Linked DNA regions of Tribolium castaneum. The protein of the gene in region 1 binds, or shares a complex with, the protein of each later gene. Links are inferred from orthologs where the notes say so. Each region holds a gene or a part of one and is shown in the gene's direction. Other genes may lie near its edges.

What was found.
Region 2: MRG15 (region 1) and YL-1 share a complex: the UniProt entries of both Drosophila melanogaster proteins name them as parts of the tip60 chromatin-remodeling complex. The link is inferred for Tribolium castaneum from reciprocal best matches to the Drosophila melanogaster genes MRG15 and YL-1.

The regions. Positions count from the first base shown.
Region 1 is NC_087400.1:991,379-994,666, forward strand, and holds MRG15 (mortality factor 4-like protein 1), read left to right. Parts: upstream 1-1,366; 5' UTR 1,367-1,477; coding exon 1,478-1,505; intron 1,506-1,554; coding exon 1,555-1,672; intron 1,673-1,723; coding exon 1,724-2,546; 3' UTR 2,547-2,580; downstream 2,581-3,288. Other genes in the region: INO80 complex subunit B, read right to left, coding at 349-744, 792-1,162, 1,210-1,213; uncharacterized protein LOC657630, read right to left, coding at 2,581-2,945, 2,995-3,288. UniProt on the Drosophila melanogaster protein: Part of the Tip60 chromatin-remodeling complex which is involved in DNA repair. Upon induction of DNA double-strand breaks, this complex acetylates phosphorylated H2AV in nucleosomes and exchanges it with unmodified H2AV.
Region 2 is NC_087397.1:8,922,171-8,925,955, forward strand, and holds YL-1 (vacuolar protein sorting-associated protein 72 homolog), read left to right. Parts: upstream 1-1,471; 5' UTR 1,472-1,617; coding exon 1,618-1,754; intron 1,755-1,804; coding exon 1,805-1,931; intron 1,932-1,987; coding exon 1,988-2,084; intron 2,085-2,135; coding exon 2,136-2,586; intron 2,587-2,975; coding exon 2,976-3,195; 3' UTR 3,196-3,231; downstream 3,232-3,785. UniProt on the Drosophila melanogaster protein: Part of the Tip60 chromatin-remodeling complex which is involved in DNA repair. Upon induction of DNA double-strand breaks, this complex acetylates phosphorylated H2AV in nucleosomes and exchanges it with unmodified H2AV.

The DNA.
Region 1 (3,288 bases):
GAATGTGTCTCTAATTTTTCTCTAACCTCTTAATTTCGGACACCCAAAAAGCAGCACCCTGTACAAACGAACAGTACCTTAAAGTTTATTTGTTTAAGATGCACAAATTTCGGGGAAGTTTCCCGCTAGGGGCGCCCCACACGTGCCAAAATAGGTCAGATAGACAGAGTCACATACAATGTTTCCTTCCGGTAACAATAACTGATCAAAGTGGCCTGTGATTGGCTCGGGCCACTTTGATTCGAAAATTAATACGCGCCATCCAAGTGGCCTAGTCACAACCCAACAAATGTAAAACAAATAAATTACCGTATCTCTGACTCAAAACTGGCCTTTTTTCCCTTCCCCTCACAAAATCCGACTAGCGATATTCCTTTTATAACACGTTAGACTGCACAGCGGTGCATTTGTCCGCGAACAGGAGTATTTTTTCACATTGCCACAGCCCATGCTACACAGTGTGGCTTTCGGGGGCTCTTTGCCCCCCGCCCCCGGCAAGGGCCAGTCCATCCCTTGCGGGAACGACACTGTCGTTAACCCAACATTCTGACGGTACAAAATCATGGGGGTTTGCGCTTTGGTGATTTTGTTTTTCGCCGCTTTGGCCGCCTTCGACTCCTGCTTTTTGAGCAGCCTTTCCATCGTCTTCTTCTTATCCTTTTCGCGCTTTTCGTCCGCCAGTTGTTTGCGTTTCTGCGACTTGATCGCCGCTTTTTGAATCGCTTCGGCCGTCATGACCTTCTCCTAAACCAACAAGTCTAAACTATTTGAATTGAAACAAACTGAATTACTTTATATCCAGTCGGGAGCGACATTAACGTGGGGGTGGTCACAGAGGGGCTCCCGTCCACCTCACGCTCGTACATGGCGCGCTGTCGCGCCGTCATCAAGGCCGGGTCCTTCGGCTTGATTTTCTTCAATTCGTCGTCAACATCCTCAAGCTTCCCGGACTCGATGGCAGTGAGCCACCGTTCCTCGTCACTTGAGGCACTGTCGCGTTTTTTGCGCTTTTTATTACCAGAGGACGATGCGGACGGGGGCTTGTTCACCGGCGACTTGGTTTTAGCACCAGACTCGTCCACTATGAGCAAATCACCGGAGGTGTCGTCCTCCGGCAAAGGGGGCCTCCGCTTAACCTTACTTTTCTTCGATTTCTGCAACTCTAAACCCACGATAACACGATCAGGGGGCACATTTAAACAAACTCACCCATTCCAAGCCAAATTCAAACGCCGTCTAAAGCTAGGTTATGTTGACAAAATGGCGTGACCGTAGCCACTTCTGGCTTGTAATCAATCATAATTAACTAACCCTGGCACAATTTCGCCCCAAATCAATCATCAAGCAAATAAATGTTTCACAAAATACAATAAATAACAAATAAAGGCACCGGGACGCGTTATAACCGGCACAAATGTGCCGGTAGCCACAACCAACTGTCAATTGTCAAAACAAAAAAAATTGTTTGAAGCCGAAAATGCCCCCCAAGTTTAAATTTTCCGAAGGTAAGACACGTGGTCGCCCCCTTAAGCCGCCCAAACACCCCTTTTCCAGGCGAGAAGGTTTTGTGCTTCCACGGCCCGTTGATTTACGAAGCCAAATGTCTGAAGTCGACCATAACCAAGGACAAGCAAGTGAAGTACTTTATCCATTACGCTGGTTGGAACAAAAAGTGTGTAAGTGTTTTCGGGGGGCCTTGTAATTGACAGTCGTGTGTTTGCAGTTGGGACGAATGGGTGCCCGAAAGCCGTGTCCTCAAATACAACGAGGCCAACGTTGCGAGACAAAAGGAGGTGCAAAAAGCCCACTCGACTCAACCCAGCAAGACGAAAAAGGCCAAGAAGAGTAAAACCGACGCCACGAAAGACATTGACTCGAGATCTAGTACCCCAAATAATGAACTGATCAAAGGGGGGAAGAGCAAAATAAGCACACCGTCGAGTGGGCAAGACTCGGGTTCAGACGTGCCCCGGAAGAAAAGGGGGCGGTTGGACCCCTCGGTCGAGTCCGAGGAGCAATTTTTGAATAAGGTTGAAATCAAGGTTAAAATCCCTGACGAGTTGAAACCTTGGTTGGTGGACGACTGGGACGTAATTACCAGACAACGAAAACTCGCAAATTTGCCGGCAAAAGTCACAGTCGAGCAAATTCTGGACAACTATCTCGCTTACAAGAAGTCAATCAAGTCGAATAATTCCAGCAAAGAGTCGGCTACGATTGAAATCGTCAAAGGCATCAAGGAGTATTTTAACGTGATGTTGGGGACGCAACTTTTGTACAAGTTCGAGCGGCCCCAGTACGCCGATATCTTGCAAACCTACCCCGATAAGCCCATGTCTGAGGTGTACGGTGCCACTCACTTGCTCCGTCTGTTCGTCAAGCTGGGGGCCATGTTGGCGTACACGCCCCTCGACGAACGCAGCATCCAACTCCTGCTCCAGAACATCCAAGATTTCTTGAAATATCTGGTCAAAAACAGCGCCCAATTGTTCAGCCTGCAAGACTACGGGAACGCCACACCTGAATACCACCGCAAGGCGCTTTAATTGTGATTATTTTATTAAAAATAATAGAAAAGCATTAGTCGGTTTTTAAAAACGGGGCCCAACTCTCGCTGGGGGCCTCGGGCGGGGCGACCCACCCGAGTGGAATAGCCGAGCCTGAGGCGTTCCCCGGACTTAGAAACGTGTCCCAACTTTTCCTTATGGCGATAAATGTCTCCAAGTCGCGGTCGGCGCTCGTTAGAGCCCAGAAGGTGGGGTTGTTGACGGGGGGGTCTCGGGGGCCGAATAGGAGGGACTCCCAGTCGTCGACAATGCGGGTTTGTTTGGCGGCGATCGCCGCTTTGGAGTCCTTACTGGCGTTGTGTTCCAGCATCACTTTCAAGCATTGCTCCTCTTTGCAGTAGCTCTGGTACGAGTTCTCCCACATGCGAATTAGTTTCTCTGAAAGTTTAGTTATGTAGAAGTGTTTGTCTTGTTTGGCCAATTTTACCCGTGACGTGCCCGAAGGCCTGCCTGTCCTCCAGCGACAACTTGTCGCCCCTTTGCGTGGCCATGGCGTCTCTAACCGTCCGCAACTTAACGAGCGCGGAAATGAGTGAGAGTTGCTTGCGCGCTTCCGATTTCTTCTTCGTCACTTCGTACAAAACACAATCGGCGTCTCTCTTCATCTTTTCTTCCATTTTCGCGCGTTCCACTTCGTCCTTTTTGCTCTCAAGCCACGTGTTTATGCTTTTATCAATCTCGCTTTGTTTCTCCTTCTTGACTTTGAGTTGTTCTTGCCGGA
Region 2 (3,785 bases), on another chromosome or scaffold:
CCATGGCAAAGAAGGAAAATCCTTGGAAAACCATCCTGGCACTAAAATTCCCAACAAACTTACAAACCCAATTTTGACTTATTTAATTACGGTCAAAGTGTCTTTAGGGTGCAGGCTAGTTGTTTGATGTCTGCTTGCTTCACAACCACTTACGAATATCTTACATATTGAGTGTAAAGCTGATAAACAGGGTTTTGTTATTGTCAGAAATAACTGTCAACAATATTACATAACCTAACAACTTTCTTTCTCTGAAATCGGAATATTCGCGGTTACAGTAATTTTTCACTTTATTTTTACAAAACTTATTGGCTGGGATTAGTAATACACAACAAAAAATGGTTCAAAAAACTTTATTTTTGACCTGTACATTTTCCTTTCATTCAAATTACAAGAAAAAATGAAAAACTATATTCTACAAGAAACAATGAGACAAATAAATTAATATTCTAGTCATTCTACAATTCTACATACAGTTTAGGAAACAATAAATGTTAAAATTCGGTTAACATCCTGAAAGGCACAAAATTGTACATATTGCTCATAATAATTGTCATGATTTCAGTTGTTTTAATTAATCAAAGGTTATTTAAAAAAATAGGAAAAAAGCATGAGTGTAGCTGTAATGCTGTTCCTAATGCTAATAAACCTAGGATATGTTGAGATTTGTTAGCTGAGAAAAATTACTGTATCTTAGTTTATGCACATTTGCGACAAACTGGACAACTTCTGTTTTCTTTGAACCATCTTGTGATACACTGATCATGAAATTTATGTTTGCATGGTAAAATAATGCCACCATCACCTTCAGGCAATGGTTCACAACATATCACACATTCCGGAACCGAGTTTCTTCTTTTTTTTCTGTAAAAAGGTGTTTTTGTACGTTGCAGTTACATAATAAGTTACTCACTTGTTCTTTCCTGTATCTGCTGTATCTGGTGTTCTTTCCTGTACCCTCGGTGTGTACACATATGTATACTTATTGTCGCTCTGGTGACAAGAAGCTGTGTTGTTTCTAGCAGTGTAGACTTCATATATGGCCAACCCAATTGCAAAAACCATCGCAGTCATAAGAACTATGCCTTGAACTCCCATCTTTGTTTTCTCTTTTTGTAACGGAAATGTGGCTGGCTATTGTAACAATTACCTACCTTTGCAACAGCAACGTCAGCAGCAGCTGAAGACGACTTATTGATAATTCTGTAATTCCCCTCGATTTATCAGGACCACCAACAAAAAGACGAGAAATAACTCATTTTCACCCTTTTGGTGGGGTTATTGCGGAGGAAAAAATGAGATCAATTCTAAAAATATTCCCACACGCACGTATTTATTCCATTCATTCATTGTAAAGTGCCAAAATCTTTTTTTACCAAAATACGAAAGGACTCGAACGCTTGTTGCAGTGACATATGAAACTTAGCTATTGGTACTTACTGATAATTCTATGGTATCTAGCAAAATACTAACCTTAAAATTTCGCAGTTTGACAGATGGTGTTTAGTGCTTGTGTTTTTTATTTAATTAGGAAAAATATTAAATAAAAACCATTTACTTTGTAATAAAACTTATCATTGGTTTGTTGTCCCTGTCCCAGGCGAGAAATTCGTTACAATGGCAAAAAGAGAAAAACGGGCAAATGCCGGTAACCGTATGGCAAAATTGTTAGATGAAGAAGAAGAATGTCAAGACGAATTCTACAAAACCAATTATGGTGGTTTTGAAGAAACCGAATCCGATAGGGAATACGAGTACTCACTTCTGATTCATTTTGTTCCGTTTTGTTATGGTTTAATTGCAGGGAGGAGGAAGAAGGCGAAGATGTGGTAGATTCCGACTTTAGTATTGACGAAAATGACGAACCTATTTCAGACAATGAGGAGGAGGGTCAGAAGAAGAAACGAAGATTAGTTACAAAGGCTTACAAGGTAATGCACGATTATGACGTTCGATTTTTTGTTAATTTTTATCTGAAACATTGTAGGAACCAGTGCCTGCACCCAGTAAACAAAAAGCAAAACCAAAACCCACAAAACCTGTCCCTAAAGTCAGAACAACCCAACATGAATCCACAGAATACGGTTTGAAAATAACGAGTTAGTTAATAATATTTGGCAACAAACGTGTTACAGAAAGAAAGTCAATCAGGAAGTCCACAGCTGCAAAATCAGCCGCAACAGCACAACGCATCAAAGTACGAAATCTCGAACAAAAGAAAAAAATCAAGAAACCGAAAGAAGAAGAATGGGTGCCAACACAGGAAGAGTTACTCGAAGAAGCAAAAACGACCGAATTGGAGAACTTGAAGTCACTTGAAAAGTACCAAAAGATGGAAAGTGAGAAGAAAACGAAACGAACTGTGAAAAAAGTCATCAATGGCCCTGTTATCCAATACAGATCAACACGAATGCCAATCATTGAGGAAATCAATCAAGATAAAGACATCAAGAACGAATCAGAAAACGTGTGCGAACGCACGTTTATCTCAGTGCTTAATGACCCTAACGATGCCACATTTAACAGCATTTTTGAAAAAAAGACAGCGCGTCCGCTTCCACGACGTCTCAGATGCATTGTCACAGGGTAAAAATAGCTATTTATATGTGCAGGGGCAATTCTTGCTCCCGTCACGTGTACAGGGTGAGTCATTGATATGACATACACCGTCAGTGGTATCGTATTCTAAAATTCTTTGTCCGATAATACAGTCTTCCATTTTTACAGTGCAGTCTAAACATAATTTTTTTAAATGTCAGGGGTTATTTTTTTATTTTTCTACAATTTAATCTGCAGGCATATTACAGTGACTCACCCTGTATATATTTTTTTCGCCTAATTTGGAGGTGCAATGTGCACAGTATGTCTTTCCTGTCTAGGGAGGAAAAGACATAGTTTGCACTTTTGAATTAGGGAGCAAAATATTTTCTAAAAAGCGACGCATTTTTTTATTTTTATTTATTTTGTGTTTTCAGTCACCTTGCAAAGTACGTTGACCCTAAAACGTGTCTGCCTTACCACAGCAGCATGTGTTTGAAGATAATTCGTTCTGCTTATTACCAACAACTGGAAGCTCATGGAGATAAGAGTAATCCAGTAGTTGCAAACTGGCTTAAGTGGTACGTTAAGAATAAGGATAAGTTAAGGAGGGAGTTGGCGTTGAAAGTAAAAACACATCAGGTGGATCACAGTTGATTTATTTTGCTCTATTTAATAAATTTTTATAATACAGTTTCTATTTCTTTCAAATAAAACTGTTTTGGTCTGAGATCAACACGATTAAATGTTAGTGAATGAGTTTGCAACAAATTTGGACGAATGAAAAGCGTCGAAAACGTTTAGTTAATATATTTATTAAACTGGTGCACAAATAATACATTACCATAATCTCAGTAGCCAATAATTTGGCTGAAAATTGGCTTATGAAGTACAACAAGAATTAATAACATTAAATATTATTAATATGACACATAAATTACATCTAGTTTAACATATCATATAAAATTAATAGGTATTTGATAAGCTACCTCATTAATTAATGCCATTATTACTTTGTTAAAATAATTTTAGCACTTGAGTATGAACAGTGTATATCAAAAGAGTAGTTCGATTAACAATGCGAATTTGTTAATAGATTACTGTTTTAATATACAATTCGTTAAAACTCTGAGAAAACGAAATTAATCTCTAATCTAAGTACAACATAATGTAAATATTTATAATAGTTAAAAAATCTTTAAAGTACTCTCAGCAAAACAATTTCATGTCCGAAAACAATTTTCAAT